4 linked regions of the Nothobranchius furzeri genome follow. The protein of the gene in region 1 purifies or fractionates together with the protein of each later gene. This does not show direct contact. Links are inferred from orthologs where the notes say so. Each region holds a gene or a part of one and is shown in the gene's direction. Other genes may lie near its edges.

The links.
Region 2: the proteins of nup214 (region 1) and ran purify together in Homo sapiens (affinity purification with mass spectrometry; 3 studies listed by BioGRID and IntAct, counting the BioPlex papers as one, with this or other methods). This does not show direct contact. The link is inferred for Nothobranchius furzeri from reciprocal best matches to the Homo sapiens genes NUP214 and RAN.
Region 3: the proteins of nup214 (region 1) and nup88 purify together in Homo sapiens (affinity purification with mass spectrometry; 6 studies listed by BioGRID and IntAct, counting the BioPlex papers as one, with this or other methods). This does not show direct contact. The link is inferred for Nothobranchius furzeri from reciprocal best matches to the Homo sapiens genes NUP214 and NUP88.
Region 4: the proteins of nup214 (region 1) and nup62l purify together in Homo sapiens (affinity purification with mass spectrometry; 5 studies listed by BioGRID and IntAct, with this or other methods). This does not show direct contact. The link is inferred for Nothobranchius furzeri from reciprocal best matches to the Homo sapiens genes NUP214 and NUP62.

What each region holds. Positions count from the first base shown.
Region 1 is NC_091746.1:57,168,729-57,173,086, forward strand, and holds the start of nup214 (nuclear pore complex protein Nup214), read left to right. Parts: upstream 1-1,425; 5' UTR 1,426-1,567; coding exon 1,568-1,609; intron 1,610-4,358. UniProt on the Homo sapiens protein: Part of the nuclear pore complex. Has a critical role in nucleocytoplasmic transport.
Region 2 is NC_091741.1:91,737,613-91,741,788, forward strand, and holds the start of ran (GTP-binding nuclear protein Ran), read left to right. Parts: upstream 1-1,340; 5' UTR 1,341-2,207; intron 2,208-2,700; exon of another isoform or gene 2,701-2,919; intron 2,920-3,042; 5' UTR 3,043-3,055; coding exon 3,056-3,100; intron 3,101-3,238; coding exon 3,239-3,323; intron 3,324-4,176. Other genes in the region: ndufs8b (NADH:ubiquinone oxidoreductase core subunit S8b), read left to right, coding at 75-206. UniProt on the Homo sapiens protein: GTPase involved in nucleocytoplasmic transport, participating both to the import and the export from the nucleus of proteins and RNAs. Switches between a cytoplasmic GDP- and a nuclear GTP-bound state by nucleotide exchange and GTP hydrolysis.
Region 3 is NC_091753.1:46,764,476-46,768,713, forward strand, and holds nup88 (nucleoporin 88), read left to right. Parts: upstream 1-1,295; 5' UTR 1,296-1,326; coding exon 1,327-3,480; 3' UTR 3,481-3,822; downstream 3,823-4,238. Other genes in the region: psmd8 (26S proteasome non-ATPase regulatory subunit 8), read right to left, coding at 1-11, 108-210, 296-368, 1,115-1,219. UniProt on the Homo sapiens protein: Component of nuclear pore complex.
Region 4 is NC_091754.1:20,876,632-20,880,879, reverse strand, and holds nup62l (nucleoporin 62 like), read left to right. Parts: upstream 1-1,678; 5' UTR 1,679-1,869; coding exon 1,870-3,312; intron 3,313-3,392; coding exon 3,393-3,551; 3' UTR 3,552-3,730; downstream 3,731-4,248. Other genes in the region: pdk1 (pyruvate dehydrogenase (acetyl-transferring) kinase isozyme 1, mitochondrial), read right to left, coding at 772-880. UniProt on the Homo sapiens protein: Essential component of the nuclear pore complex. The N-terminal is probably involved in nucleocytoplasmic transport.

The sequences.
Region 1 (4,358 bases):
ACTGCAACAAGAACGGACTAAAATCTTGGTGCTTCATGAACAGTCACCCCATGTTGACACGGGCCACATCTGTCATGCAAGAGTGGGCCAGTCTTGGCCTGAAGTCTGAACTCCTACCTAACTTGATAATGGACGTCAGTGCACAAGCTGACAAAAGGATCCGATCATGCAACTGTAAACTCCGATCACTGTATTGTTCTTCACAATCAGCAGGGCCTGGCCCCGGAAATCCTGGATGTTGTTTCTGCTTTCTAAAAGAATAAAATGTTAAAATGTTCATGCGCCTTCTGGCTCAAGCATGAATACTATATAATGGAAATGCAAGATGCCACTTTTGATGTTACATAAGAATCTTATCTTTCATTCCTACCATCATCTCTGCCATTATCAGTTTTAAGTTATGTAGTCGCAGAGGAGTACCTGATTTGTTTAAATGCAAAACAGAAAATTCAGCTTTCTAATAAAAGTCCTTACTTCACCTATACTGTAGTGGGTGGCTATTCCTTTTGTCTTCATTTCTTGGGGTTCCCAAAGGGGTACTGATTCAAAAAAGAATCATGCATAGGAGAAATAAAAGTTTCTGCAACTTGTAAAGTGCTTATACACAAGTACAAACTTTCCTGCAAGTGTATGTTAACAAAAGTCAGTATAACTTTATTAGACATTTAAAAAGTTTTTACCTAATTGTTTTTGTTCCCCTGAGTAGATTTCATGTCAAAAGTTAGTTATAAAAGATTTTTAAGTATTCTCAACTATTTTCATTAAAGTCAGGGAGACCAGTTGGAAAATAAAAACTTGGATATAAAAATACAACTTTAAGAATGTGAATAGTCTGATTTAAATGTTGTTTAGCATTTTTTTTAGTATGTCACTTTTATTGCATCATAACTATCCATGTTTAAAATATTTAAAACGTTTTACTTCATTAAGAACCATACGTCATACATTAGGTTGGCTAAGGCAAAGAGTAATAGCAGAAAAATAAATAAAAAGCTAAATGCTTCTTGAGTCAGTACCATAAATGCAACAATCAAAGGGGCTTAGAGCAATGCCAGCACAAAAAATGTAAACGTTTAAATTCATATATCACATTTTTAAGGTTTTTATGACACTTGTACTCTTCTATGGGAAATAAACAGGAATAAATTATGATTATAGAACTTGGATTTATGAATAAGAAACTATGCTAATTTGTACATTTATGATATGAAAACAATATATATTAACATCCTGACATACTATTTGTAAACAGACAAGACATTTTCCCGGCAAATATGATCAGAAACAAGATGCAAAAATCAGCTCTAAACACGTTTTGTTTTTATTCGGATCCAAGAGACTGGTGGGCCATCTCAGTTAGCTCTGGCATCTACTCGTCATCCTTATTTATTTATTAACTGCAAAAGGACACTCTAGCATCCACTAGTCATCCTATTTTATTTTCACACACAAAACGGCGCGGCGAGTTCAGTTGATGTAGCTCGCTCGAACTTTGACTTACATCTACGCTTTGAAGGAATAAATTAAAGCAAAACCTCATCCGGAGAATCAGAAGTTTCTGTTCGAAATGAGTGACGATACAGACTCCCCTCCTGAGAGGGAGATGAAGGTATTTACGCGGCTAGCATGTGGAAAGCTACGGCGTTGGTTAGCTTAGTAGCTTATAAGCAGCTAGCTAACTGATTGTAAAGTTATTTTGGTTTAGATTACTATAACCCCTTGTTTTTTACTGACTTAGACCATGCACATTGATAAAATGCCGAGTGATGAAAACGGAGAACTGATTACAATTTTCTCTCAAGTCCGTCAAAAGAAATTATTTTATATTCGTTTCAGTCTACGTATGTTAGCACCGCAATGTTATGCTAACGGTAACAGAGATGTCATTCAGGTCTTTTATGACAACAAATGACATCGTTTGATATTACGGTTACGTTGCACGACTATTACAATTTATTTTAGGCTATTTTATAATTAAGAATAAATACATTAAAGAAATAGTATATAAGTTGCTTTAAACGCTTGTTGTTGTCTATTTGTATGCAAATACTTTAATCAGTGCTTCCAAAAGCATAGGGAGCACCTTATATCATATAATATTGAAACAGTTTAAGGTTTGTTTTTAGAGATTTATACTCTTTAGTGAATCTCACAGGTAGGAGCAAACATGTAAACTGTACTTGAATGTATTTTAGGTGCACTATGAATGACACCCAAGATTATTATTTTTTGTTAACTCCATTTTCATTCAACTTTAGATTTTATACAAATGGACAGAAGTACAAAATACTCTAAAAAGCCACTTTAGCAAATTTAATGCAGTAACAAACCTCATTGCCAATATATTAGCACTGATATACAACTAAGAACATAGATCAAATGTAAAGTACCCAAATGTACTTAATGCAATTTTACATTTTTTTATTAAAATGTAGGAAATTGCACCTAATCGCCATTGTTATGGCAGTCATAACATTGCTAAAAGATTTGATAATGTGTGTAATTTTGTGTGCAATATCTACTTAATTGTAATGTGACACGTCAGCATTTTTACAGCTTTTTCACTGCTAGTCATTTGAAGATATCTAAACATTTTCAAATTTCAAGCGGACTGTTTTTATACTCTACTAGGGCTGTCGCGGTAACCGCAAAAATGAAATATCGCAATATGAAGAAGCCCACCGCGCTGCATCATGGACCACCGCGATTACTGAACTTGGTTCAACTCAATGATGCATGTTGAGAAGGATGGCTGCACTGGTATCAAAACGAAACGTTACTTCGCTCCTTTGGGAGCACTTTGGTTTTCAGTACGTCAGCTGCTGCACAGCCAGAGTCCTTGGCCGAGACAGAGCTGCCACCAGCGGCAAAAAAATAATAATAAACGCTCGGAGACCTGCTGAAGTCCCGGACAAGCACTGCTTCTGCAACCGTCCTGAAGAGAGTTTGAGCCGAGCTGGAGCTCACTCGCTACCTGCAGGAGGAATGCATCCACCCTAAAGAAACCCCCCTGACATGGTGGAGCAACAACCGGGAGACATTCCCTTTGCTCGGCAGAGTCGCACGCAAGTACGTGTGCGTTAGTGCAACGAACGCACCATCCGAGAGGGTTTTCAGTGTTGCTGGAAATGTTGCCACCCCTCTCAGATCCTCTCTCAAACCGTATATGGTTAACATGCTTGGTTTTCCTTGTAGGTAACAAGGACGTGACCGAGCTATAAATCACCGTCATTCGTGTGTGTGAAAGTGAAATGATAGTGCGCCCGCCCCCCGGCGCGCGCGCGCCCGGTACATGTAATTTTTTATGCTTGATTTTAAACAACTAAACAAAATGGGGACTTGTTTCTTATTTGTTAGATGCTGCAGCCAAATTTGCATTTAAAAGTTTAACCTCCTGAATTTTGTTGTTTTTAAGTTCAGTTGGACTCCGACTGTCGGAGAAACAAACGTTACTGCGATCTGTGTTGTTACTGCCCTTTGATCTGCATTCAGTAAAGCGTTATTGAAGAAGGCACGGCAATTTTTAACCTTTTTTAAATGTGTAAACATTATGTTTAGATAGTACTGCAATAAAAAAAGGGCTGCAATAATATCGCACACCGCAATATTAAGCCACCCTGAATCACCGCAGGGGGAATTCCTCAACCGCGACAGCCCTATACTCTACATAGTTTAAGAAGTTTGAGAAAATCAGCTTTCAAGCACTTAAGACAAGTTAGATAGCATCTCAGAGATGATGTTTGAATTATTTCTCCTTTGGTAGAATTAGAACTTCAACACTGACCCCACGTTGCACAACCAAACTGTAAACTTAAAGAGGTCCTTCACTAAGAAACAATTTTTACTTATTTTTTTAAATCAGTCACTCAGAGTTTAACATGCAGACTGAACGTGAAAATAGTGTCCTATTTTTTATATATCTCCTTCATTAGCTTCTGATAGAAATAGTGAAAGTCTAGAAAATAGTGAAAGTCTAGGACAGGGGTATTCAATTCCGGGCCTGGGGGGCTGGCATCTAACACGTTTTAGTTGTTTCACTGCTCCAATATACTTAATTCAATGGTTGAATCACATGTGCTGAAGCTCATCAGGCTCTGCAAATACCTGTTAATTATATGCTGATTGAAATCGGGTGTGTTGGAACGGGGTTAAACCTGCCGGATATCGGCCCTCCAGGCCCGGAATTGAATACCCCTGCTCTAGGATTTGAAAAGCCTGACAGCTCTACGTCACACTGTCGCTTACCATTCATGGATTCACCCATCTTGACTTGCAATGGGGAAGGCTGTTGTTGATTTAGTGTCCAGGAAACAGCAGAGAACATCTCAACTAGTAGAAGCTAAGTGTTAGCATTAGCA
Region 2 (4,176 bases), on another chromosome or scaffold:
AAAAAAGAATCGCTGCTTACCTTTTCCTATCCAGTATTTGCTGTTTGATATTTTTCTCTCAACCTTCTCCTCAGGGTCCAAACTTTGAGTTTTCTACAGAAACGCACGAGGAGCTTCTTTACAACAAGGAAAAGCTGCTCAACAACGGAGACCGATGGGAGCCTGAGATAGCAGCCAATATACAGGCAGACTATTTGTACAGATAAACCACTTCTTGTAAAAACAAACCATTTTGGCATCATGCTTATGTACATTATAGAAATAGCTACATGTTGTGGAGTTAAAATGCTCATTTTGAAGCAAGCCCAGTAATCATACATTAACTGGCCATAAACAAAAATAAACAAATCTAACAAAAGTTGTTCTAAAAGCTTTTTTATAGGCACACCTTCACTGTTGAGCTTTTTCTGTAAATCATAAAACTTAACTGAGTAACTTAAATTTTCATCTTGTATTTATGACTGGGGGGGGGGGGTGGCTCTGTTGGTTAATCCTTTATTAGAAAAATAACATCTTAAATCATTTAGATCCTGTTGTTGTCAGGAATCAGTCTTGCTGCTTCCCATCTAACTGAGGTTTATATCCTCAGTAATGCGTGTCTCTCTGAGCTAAACGGCTGTTTAGTCTGGTTACATTGGTTAGTCCTTATAATGTGTTTCTGGAAATCATTTCACTATTCCCTCGAGTTCTACTTAGTAAGCATTTTTGCAAAATTTTCTTTATCTTTCGTTATTTTAGATATATGGCAGTTTTTAACCTAATGATGGTCTCATGCGGTAATGATTTGACCTGTCTCCAACTGACTCGACTATTCCTTATCCACAGAATGTTTTCTACTCAGTGGATCAGCCAGGGTTAAATACTACAGCTCTTTTGCCATTGGCTAGAACAGGTTGGGAGCTTTCTTGTTGGTCAGGCACTGTTTGGCTTGTTTTGTTGTAGGATTGGGTTAGTTTGAACTGTTCATGTGTTGAATTCATTTGTTTTTACTCACTGATATTTACAGACACATTAAAACATTTTTTATTGTTTTTAAGTTGAACATTTCAATGTAATGCTTCTCCAGAACAACTGAGGGTAATTAAATAAACCATATTTTAAACCTAGGCTGGTGTTAGATTAGTTGGAGAATTGGGAGTGAAGCATACCTGCAGCTTCTGATTTCAACCTCAACAGAATTGTTTTGACCAGTTTGAAGTGTATTTTTATATAAAGGATATAAGTAATTACTATTTTATTTAGCTTTCTGAATGGACTGAAACATTCAACAGGATTGATGAGCTAACAGCTAGTTTAAGTGCAATCACAACTTGAAAAATGTCATAGCAGTTTAATAATGTAATTTAAAAAGAGTACAAATTAGTTTTAATTCTCTCTGCTTCTTTTGTGCCTCATCAACAGTCATAACATGTTTTTCAGGAAAATTCTTCAAGCTTGTTAGATCTGTTTTATTTAACTGCATGATCTAATATAAAACACAGGCCCAGAATCATTTGAACCTATTACTTGGTCCCATTTCTGTCAGCTCTGGTTTGCAGTTTCCACTAAGGTATGAACTACGGGTGAAATTATACAAATTGATTATGTATTTTTAAACCAGATGAGTTTTAAAGGCCACTCTTTAACCCTGCGTGTTAACTTTGCTACAGGAACAAACAATGGAAGAGCCGGGGTTAAAGCATGGACATAAACACAGAAATGTCTATAGAGTTAAGTAACACATATCATCGGGCATCTGCCTCCCTTCATTACTCCGTAATCTTTAGAGAGCCTGAAAGGGGTTCCTGAAGTAGAGAAGTACAGAAAGACACTGGTGTCTGGGAAAGGCTCCTCCTGTCAAAACCTCCTTTTAGTGCAAATGTCAAATTTATGATTTATAACCCCGAAGGTCCTTGGAAGTTTTCAGAAAAGGGCAGAAACCTTTGAACAACAAAAACTAGCTGGCTTCTTATCGGGCCCATATGTCTTGATCAACACTTTAAAAACATGATATATACGGTTTAATCTCTAGAAGTGTTGCTTTGAGAACAAAGCAGCGGAGTGCGCATCGTGAAGGTATATCAGACGGATGCTGATTCATGTTCTATATTTTATGCGTTTTTGGCGCTGCGGAGGCCACGTGACCAGGGCGGAAAGTGACTCATAGTCCACGCTGAATCTGCCGCGAACGCAGCCATTTACTCTTTCCTCTCTTCGCAGTGACACCGGTGAGTCGCTAGTTTCCTCTTCAATTGAGGGCCTTCCTAAATGTCAAGTTTGGATTGTTTTTAAGTCACTAAGAATGAAACAAAACTTTTTGGGTTATTTTCTTCTTTTGGGTTAAGGTCGTTTTGCATGTGCAGCCTTAACAGCAGTTGAGGGGGAAAGGCCGTCGCATTTTTTGTGCTACCAGCTAACGGGGAAGAATGGCTTCCATGCTGTGCTAGCTGTGAGGCTAGCGAGCACAGCAATGCTCCATTTCACGGCTTTGTTCTGGGATATTTGTTCCTATTACTCTTATTTGTGTATATTTGCCAGGGAGTTTTCACAATTTTTTCTTGTTCGCAATTAACGTTATTTACGGAAGGCGTCTTGTTTAGACCAGAAATTGACGGCAACATGGAACGCATTAGCTTCTGTGACTGTCTGATTGTTCCAGTCGAACCTGAAAAAGTGCGCTCAGGCATCATATGGCGCACTAAACTAACGCCTGTTAGCTTGAAGGCTAGTTGGTAACCGCCAGTGCTGAGGCTTTTGGGGGGCACGGTAGCTTTGTTTTACTTTATATTTTGGCACACCGGAGAGCAGTTAGAGGCTGTTTGTTGATGCGTTAGCAAGCTTTCATAAATTATAACGTCGCATTTGAACATGTCGGAACGTTAGCTTGGATAGAACATGCTAGAAGTTATCCCTTAGCTGTAAACTCGTCTGTACAGAATGGTGCGTGTTCAAAGCCCCGTGTGAACAATATTCCCAGAATGCCAAATTGAGTTATTGAGAATCTTTAACTTAAATCAACGTATAGATAACACTAACGGTAGATTCCCGCCTTGTTTGTTTCAGAATATTTGGAACCATGGCTGACTCTATGGGACAGTGTGTACCTGTGGCGGTGTTCAAGGTAAGAATCTACTTCTTAAGAATGATGTTAAGTATGATCTAATTATGGCGCGTGAGGGCAAAAATGTGTGCGTTTTAGCTGAGGTAACTGGTGTACCAGCACAAACCGGTCAGTAGATAACTGGTCTGTTCTTCACAGCTGGTGTTGGTCGGAGATGGAGGCACGGGAAAAACAACTTTTGTGAAGAGACACATTACAGGAGAGTTTGAGAAGAAGTATGTTGGTGAGTAACCTGAGAAAGTTAAATGTAAACTGTACAAGACTAACCCAGTGTTTGTTTTTACCAAATTAGGTTTGCCACTAATGTTTAGAACATCACATTTACAGAAAATATTGTAAAATCGCTGCATCACAAGTTTATGACACAGACGTGTAAAATGCACAGTTCTGGTCTTCCTGTGAAATTAGTGTTTGTTGAAATTACTTCATAAAACAAGTGGTTTTTATTATTCTTGTAGTTGAAAGATAAACACAACTATTTCATGTCCATGTTATTTAAAACCATTCTCTTATCAAGTCTATGAATAATAGGCCAAATAAGAATGACTGTCCTCAGTAATCCCAAAGAGTGCAAAAATGCAGAAATTCTAAGTACTAGTTACTCCATATAGCTAGCTATAAATGACTTCCAGCATCAGTCACATAACTGATTGTAGTAGATGGAAAATCAAGCAATACCAACCTTTTTATATATTAGTTTAACAAACTTGGTGTCATTCTGCAATGTCTGAAATTCTACAACTAACAGCTGCTTTGGGTTGGTGATGTTTTTAAATGGAAAACGGTAAAACAATGAGTCAAACATTATTTTTTGTGAAACTATACAGGGTTTAAACTTGTAGATAACATCTTTGTCCTAATTTATATTGAAAAGAATTGAATGGGAGAGAAGGGAGATCCTGGATGAATACTGTTCCCGGTATTATAAATATATTAACATGTCAAACATTCAACATAAAGATGATGAATAATGTGTACTTTATTGATCCCCTTGGGGAAAATCATTCTGTTTGATTCATTCATGAGAAGCATTAAGCTACCATTTCTATGCCACCTGGGATCTGTTTTCTAGTTTA
Region 3 (4,238 bases), on another chromosome or scaffold:
GCAGCTCGTCTCTAGATGACACACACACACACACACACACACACAAAAGTATGTTAAAAGAAACCATTAGGTATAAAATGTTCACAGCACACAAAAAAGTGTATTACTTGTAATCAAAGTAGTAACATTTCAGTTGAGCCATGTATCTCTCAAAAGATGGAATGTCTTTCTTGAGGATGCTCCACAGAGCTCCGATCTCAAGGACATCGCCTGGAAACACCATAAGTTTGAAGTTACACATGTACAGTTTTACTATACAGGCATTACTAATAACGTCTGAATAGGTTTTACTCACGAGCTAAAATAAGCTGCTGCTTGGTGATACCAGATCCTTTGGTAGGTAAAAAATTCAGCTCCAGTAGAGAAACCTGTAAAAACAGGGAATAAAATAATTAAAGAAAAGTGGATCAGAGAAGCACTTTTCGGTTAGATGACAGTGACATGTGTGGGTAGTAACAGAATAATAAATATAATTCATTGTCATCTCTTAATTATTTGACAAAGATGCAAGTGAAAGTATGACCAGAATCAACAAGAGAATGAAACTGCTGTACATCTGTATTTCAGATTGACATAAATATCTGTATAAAGATTAATGCATTGCTTAAAAACTTATTTAAATAGTACTTTATGTAAGTACTTTGTTGATTGGGTGCATTTCCACCAGAATTCAGTACAAATTAACATTAGATATAACATTTACAGTCATTCTAACGAACTGTCTGACAATAGTTGTTAAATAAAGATAAATAAAAACTATATTAAAAAGTATCCAGATGAATGTCAATGTAAAACTGATGCTAACGTTAGCTACAACAAATGATCCGTGTTCAGAGACTGTCGCTTAAAAAGCTCAAAACTATGAAAATGTCTAATAACGCAAACTGCAATGTATATCCGAATAATTAAAACTCAAATAAAAGCATAAACCATGTAAACAGTAATCCCTCATTAAACGTATACGGCGCTTTAGAACATCGAATTAGCCTAGCTAGGCTGTTAGCGTACTGAGCTACGTTTGCTAATACCACTATAGTTTGAGAGTAGGACGTGTTACAGATTCAACTTGTACGGTTTAAAAAATTAACAACGAAAACATTAACAAACGTGTCACCTTGAGCTTGCTCAAAAGGTCTCCACACTTATTCGGGTTTGGATTTTTCTTGTTCCATTCAGCTTTTAGAGTCTCATACAACCCAGCAGTCTCTTTCAACGCCATGGTGATTCTGCAAAATGTTCGACATTGGCTCCCGTTTAACGGCTGTCGTGAAACACCCGTTACCATAGCTCCCTCTTGAGACGGCACCAGTCCCACATTTGATCAAGATGGCGGCCTTCGGCGCAGAACGGTGGCTGAACAACTTGCCAAACCACACAATTTTCAGAAAACTACGAGAGACGCTGGATTTGGAATCCAGGTCAAATGAAAGAGAAGTCGCTAAAAATCTTACGTTTTGTCTGGGCGGGGACTTTTTCGTGTGGGACAACGCTGAACGCGTTTTTTACACGACCAACCTGAGGCAGCTGAACTCTGATAGTGAAAGCGGGAAGTTTCAGACGCTGCTTTGCATCAACCCTCCTCTGTTCGATGTGTGCCAGGTGTATGTGAGCCCAGTGCAGCATCACGTCGCGCTGGTCGGACAGCGGGGCATTTCGGTTCTGGAGCTCCCTCAGCGATGGGGCAAGAGGTCCGAGTTTGAAGGAGGACGGGACAAAATCAACTGCAAGACCATCCCGGTGGCGGAACGCTTCTTCAGCAGTTCACCGTCGGTGAGTCTGCGACAAGCTGCGTGGTACCCGAGCGAGACCGACGAGCCCCATGTTGTGTTGCTCACATCAGACAACACCATCAGGTTTTACGGTCTGAAGTCGCCTCAGACGCCGGCTAAAGTTCTGCAGCTGTCGCAGTCAGAGGATGACTGCAGCTCACAGCATCCGGTTCGGTCCTATGCTGCATCTCTGGGAGAGATAGCTGTGGCCTTTGACTTTGGGCCGGTTTCATCCCCTCCTCGAAAGGTGGCAGCCCAGATTCCCAAAAATCAGCTGGTTTACCCTCTGTACGTTTTGTATGAAAACGGGGAAACCTACGTGAGCTACGCTGGTCAGACGAACGGTCTGAGTGTGAGTAAACCGGCTGGACCCCTCCCTATGTATCCGGCAGCCGAGGATAACTATGGCTATGACGCCTGTGCCATCCTGTGCCTGCAGTGTGCCCCCAGCATCTTGGTGATCGCCACAGAGACGGGGACTCTGTATCACTGCGTAGTGCTGGAGTCTGAGGAGGAAGACGAGGCAGGGGCTGTGGAGAAGTGGATCCGAGGCACAGAGGCGGTACCGGCTCTTTACGTGTTTGAATGTGTCGAGCTTGAGCTCACTCTCAAAGTAGCTTCAAGGGAAGACGAAGAGCCTCAAGAGTTGGATTTCACCTGTCCAATTCGTCTGCACCAAGACCCCCTGTGTCAGCAGAGGTACCACTGCACCCACGAAGCCGGAGTTCACAGTGTTGGGCTCATATGGGTCAACAAAATGCAGAAGTTTCTTCAGTCCAGCGAGGAGGACAAGGACAGTCTCCAGGAGCTGGCTGCAGAGAAGCGCTGCATCGTGGAGCACATTCTCTGCACCAGACCGCTGCTAACCAGCCAGTCGGCTCCGGTTCGTGGCTTTTTAATAGTCTCCGACCTTTCCTTGGGCGCCACAATGATCTGCGTCACTGCCATGTTCGAGTGCATCATGTTGCCCCTTCTAAGCTCCATCCGTCCACCCTCCCCTCCACTGCTCTGCTCCCACCCAGTTCCTGGCTCCATCAGCTCACCTCTGCGTGGGCTCGCCAACGACTCCTTCGAGCAGCATATCCGCAACATTTTGACACGTGGCTCCACTAATCCCCTTGTGCTAAAGGCAGGCGATAAGGACACATCACCTCCACCTGCAGAGTGTCTGCAGCTTCTCAGTAGGGCCACACAGGTCTTCCGCGAGGAGTACATTCTAAAGCAGGACATGGCTTGCGAGGAGATGCAGAGGAGGGTGAAGCTTCTGCGAGAGCAGAAGAACAAGCAGCAGGAGGAGTTCACTCTGTGCAGAGAGGAGAAGAAGACTCTGAGAGAGGCGGCAGAGAGGTTGGCTGATAAGTACGAAGATGCCAAGTATCGCCAAGAAACCATCATGAACCGAGTTAAGAAGGTGTTGTGCAGCCTGCAAAGCCAACTGCCCATCCTGTCCAACAGTGAGAAGGACATGAAGAAGGAGCTGCAGACCATCAACGATCAGCTAAAACACCTGGATAATTGCATCCGGCAGGTGAACATGAAGATGGAGTACCAGCAGAAACAAGTGGACAAGGACATGTCTTCAGCTAGGATGACAGTGTCACTCAACGCTCAACAGAAGAAGGTTGTTCAGGACGTCCTGAGAGAGCAGGGACAGCAAATCGGTGACATGATGAAGCAGATCAAAGACATCAAAAACCACTTCAACTTCTAATCTCCTTTGAGACGCAGACATTTTCTGTTGGAGGAAGTAACTTTTATGTTTTTGGTCAAAGTTTCATGTTTTCTAGCATTTAGTGAAAAGTTACGAGTGCTTTATCTTTTAGGAGCGTGAGACAGACGTGAAAGATAAATGTTTTCCACCCAAAAAAATCTTTAAAAATGTTGTTTAAGTGGAGAACAGCAGGCTTACTGTTGGGTTTTCTTTGTTCAGGCTGTTCTAAAAATACAAAAATAAATGTTTATGCTCTCTAAAGACATGTTTTCAACTCAACTGTGTACTACACGTCTATTTTTGACATCGTTTTTCAACTTTTAAATAAATGTCAATGCTTTCTGTGGCTGTGACTATTTACAGAGCGTTAGCAGTTAAACTTTTAAATAATTAAACCAAATTAAATTTAAAAAAAAGTTACAGTTTTGATAGAATGTGATTTTTTAACTGGATGAATACATGATTGTGCTGAGCTTTGCTGCCGCTATAGGTCTGCGATTTTAAAGTCCAAGTAAAGATAAGAAAAGTTAAACACTTAAAATCTCCAGCAGATTTGATATGTTGTTAGAACACAAGTAAATATGGTTAAGAGATGCTTTTCTTGTAGAATCATTTTTATTTTCAATATTCTGACATGAAAAAATTTGTTGATTTTTGAAAAAAATTCCTTTAAATGTAGACTGTCAAATCTGTCAGGTTATGACAGATTTTTTTTAATCTGCTAAAAAAAATAAAATAAATTTAAATAACTTCAAAAT
Region 4 (4,248 bases), on another chromosome or scaffold:
TCCACCTACCTCTACTCCCCCACTTGTCCAGATGTAGGCTAACATCAGATTTTAACCATAGGCCCTATCAAATAAAAATGTTTTAAGCCTAGTCTTAAAAGTAGACAAGGTGTCTGCCTCACGGACTAAAGCTGGGAGCTGGTTCCACAGGAGAGGAGCCTGATAACTAAAAGATCTGCCTCCTATCCTAATTTTAGATATTCTGGGAACCACCAGTAAAGAAGGCACCTCCCGTGTATTCTTGCTTAGCTAGCTAAACAGCTAACAAACGAAGAACAGACACCTCGGTAGCACATGATGATTGGAACACGCCTTGGCGGTACCTGATTACGTATCTCCTAGGCAACCGGGGCAGGACCAAGACATCAAGAAACACCGAAGAGTTTGAGATAAAACTGGGTGTTAATTGGCAAGTATCTAGCAATATAATATGTTGCTATACAGGAGAGACGATACGATATATTGAGATACTAAAAGGCTGACTATTTTTGCAATTTTTAAGTGAATTTAACTGGGAAAACTCAGACAATTCCAGTGTTTTCGCAAGATATCGGTCTGTCAGACTGAAGGAGGAAGAAACTGCTGCCACCTAGCTGTCAGTGTTTGATCTGCACCACACAAAAGAAATACAAGAAATGTTGGCATGTAAATTCTCAATAATAGATACTCTGCTTTTAAATATCGATTCTGTATCATAAACCGAAATGTTGTGATATTTCAGTGCATTGAATTATTTTTACATCCCTAGAGTGTTATATGAATACATCTCACCAAAATCCAGAAACTGCTTCATTGAAAGAGGGGAAGGAGAAAATCTGGAGTAATAATCGATATCCTTCCCTACTGACACGCTGTTCCTCAGAAACCTCAGAAGCCTCATGTTGACCGGGTTTACTAGTTATTCGGAGGAAGCAGGTGGCTTCCGAGCCACACTTAGTGTTATTTAACGACACTAGCTCGTTGAGCAAACCCAGCAGCTCGCAAACACGCTGTTAAATTTATTATTGTTCAGTTACGTTGCTAATTGATGCAGGTTCAGCATCCATAACTACGGCCGCGCTGCAATGTTTGTGTATCGTCCGGTGTGTACTTCAAGTGATCGCTGCTAAATCCACCGAAGCAGAAAAGTCAACAAGCTAATTCAAAGAGTTACTACAAAGTTCAAGAGGATTCATCGTTGTTGCCTGGCGTATACCGACACGAAGTTCTGTTGAAAGGCTGTATTTAAAATTATTGTCAATATTGACGGTAAATTGCGAAAATAAAGACGTATAAATGCACGATAATGTCCTAAATAATGTCTTTTATTCACGTGTGTATGAAAGAAGAAGAGTTGATAGTGCTCGTTATTCTGTAACTATCTTGCCTTTGCATACTCTTTGTAAAGGCCAAACTATATATTTTTCCGAATGTTTGTCTATCAGGCAGTCAAATGAGCCTATCATGTACCTCAAATCTAATCATAACTCTGATTGGATAAAACAGTTGCCAAATAAATTAATAGGCGGAATTATGTCCCTGCAGACAAAATTCAGGGCATACGAGAATGCCGCGTCTCGGGTGTCGTCACTTCCTTTAGGTGGCCAGATAATTGCCTGTTAAAGGAAATGTCGGTTCACAGGCCCACGTTTTTAGCAATGTGTTATTGATTTTGGCTCTATATTCCTCGGAAGGTAACGTTGATTAGCGTGTGATTTCATTCATTTCCTGCGTATCTGTGCAAAGTTACTTAAATAGACGCAGTGGGGATTTTAGGAACTTCAGTCGGAGGAGTTGGTCATAGCGACCCGCCAAAAGCCACAAGATTCGGCAAGGAAGTGGCCGTTTTAAACGACACGTAACGGCTGTGTTTAACTTCTTGTGAGGATAATGAGTGGCGGATTCAACTTCGGACAGAATGCAGGGTTCGCCTTTGGAGCGCAGAAGACCACTGCCGCTGCCCCCAACGCGGGTTTTACATTAACCAGCTCAGCAGCTCCGGGAGGGGGGTTCGCCTTTGGAAATGCCAACCAGACCAACCCCACCGCCTCTTTCAGCTTTGGCACCCCAGCCAAGAGTTCCGCAGGCGGCACGGGGTTGTCTTTTAGCACGCCTACTGCCTCGTTTGCTCTTGCTACCCCTCAGACAACACCGGCAGCAACAGGGTTGAGTCTGGGCTCTGCAGCAACTCCGGCTGCCGGGTCAGGGTTCACCTTAGGCAGCCTGCTAACCTCGCAGCCCCCAGCTGCTGCACCAGCAGTAGCAACAGTGGCACCAAGCGGGGGAGGATTCACCTTCGGTGCTCCCACACAAGTCCAGCCTCAGTCAGTGGTAGCACCCACAGCCACGACAGCAGCAAGTGGCATGTCCATTGGAGGGTTCAGTTTTGGTGCTCCCAAAGTCCAGGTGACCTCAGCTGCAGCCCCCACTGCTGCCACAGGAGCGGGATTCAGCTTTGGAACCCCTGCAACCACCGCCTCTGCAGCTCCAACCACCCAGGGTGGAGGTTTTAACTTTGGGATTAAACCTTCATCAACCCCAGCCCCTACAGCAACCACCCAGGTGGCTCCGACTCCAGGCCCTACTCTGTTTGCGACACCCATAACCACCACCGCCGCCACTACAGCAGCAGCTCCAGGATTCATGTTTGGTGCAGCTCCAATTTCGGCTCCACTTTCATCGGTGAGCACTGCAACCACCACAGCAGCTGGAGGGGGCTTATCCTTCCCACTCAAACCTCTGAGTTCAGCAACCACCACCTCTGCTCCGGCCTCCATCCTAACTGCAGCCGCCACCACAGGCACAGCTACGGGCTTCATACTGGGACTCAAAACTACATCCACCACAAGCACAACCACAACAGCCACAACAATCGGCACCACCACCACCACTGCTCCTCCTGTGATGACCTATGCCCAGCTGGAGAGCCTCATAAACAAGTGGAGTCTTGAGCTGGAGGACCAAGAAAGACATTTCTTACAGCAAGCGACTCAGGTGAATGCCTGGGACCGCATGCTGGTGGAGAACGGAGAGAAGATCACATCCCTGCACAAGGAGCTGGAGAAGGTGAAGCTGGACCAGAGGAGGCTGAACCAGGAGCTGGACTTCATCCTGTCCCAGCAGAAGGAGCTGGAGGACCTGCTGTGTCCGCTGGAGGAGTCCGTGAAGGAGCAGAGCGGAACCATCTACATGCAGAATGCCGATGAGGAGCGTGAGAGAACATACAAGCTCGCTGAGAACGTAGACGCACAGCTGAAGAGGATGTCTCAGGACCTGAAGGAGATAATTGAGCACCTGAACACATCCAGCGGCCCAGCTGACTCCAGTGACCCAGTAAGATCAGATCTAAGTCATCCTTAAACCTGTCATTATGATGTTTGCCTTTTTCATTCATCTCTTTCTCTCTGTTTTAGCTCCAGCAGATTTGTAAAATTCTCAACGCCCACATGGATTCGCTGCAGTGGATCGACCAGAACTCGGTTCTCCTGCAGAGAAGAGTGGAAGAAGTGTCTAAACTCTGCGACACCCAACGCAAGGAGCAGGAGAAGAGCTTTCGTTTAACCTTTGACTGATCTGTTGATGAGTTTAACTCTGCATAAACATTATGCTCTTTTGTTTGGATTTACTCATTTCACTTTCTGTTTTGGTTTTATTAAGATAAATATTTTCTCAATAGTTCTTTATAAAGTTAATTGATCATATTAAATGTTCTGGGTAGTGTGATTAAATAAAACAATTGCAGTGGATCTCATTCAGCCTGATGTGGTGTGTCATGACTCTAATTCTCACATCTAATCTGAAACATGAAAGATCTACCAGACTTTTTGAGTTGAAATAATCTAAATTACTTAATCATTTTAGAGCTTTAACTGTAATTTGTCTCAGTAATGATCTACAAGCTGCTTAATTCTACCTGAGCCCTAGATTAGATGTAAAAACACAAGGAGGCGGGTGCAAGAAATGATAAATGACCCGCACTTGTATAGCACCTCTCAGAGTAAGGACTCCAAAGCACTTTACACTACAGTGTATCATTCATCCATTCACACACTGATGGTGATGAGCTACGATGTAGCCACAGCTGCCCTGGGGCGCACTGACAAGCAGAAGCATTGGTTTTCTTAACAGCTCCAGATAAGGTAGTAGAACATGTTGGCCAACCTCACAGGTATGTTGCAAAACACTTTGAGATTTTCATTCTAATACAATGTTAAAAAATACAATTCACCATTTCTACAGTAAAAAATTCCCAGGAAATTAAACAGCCAT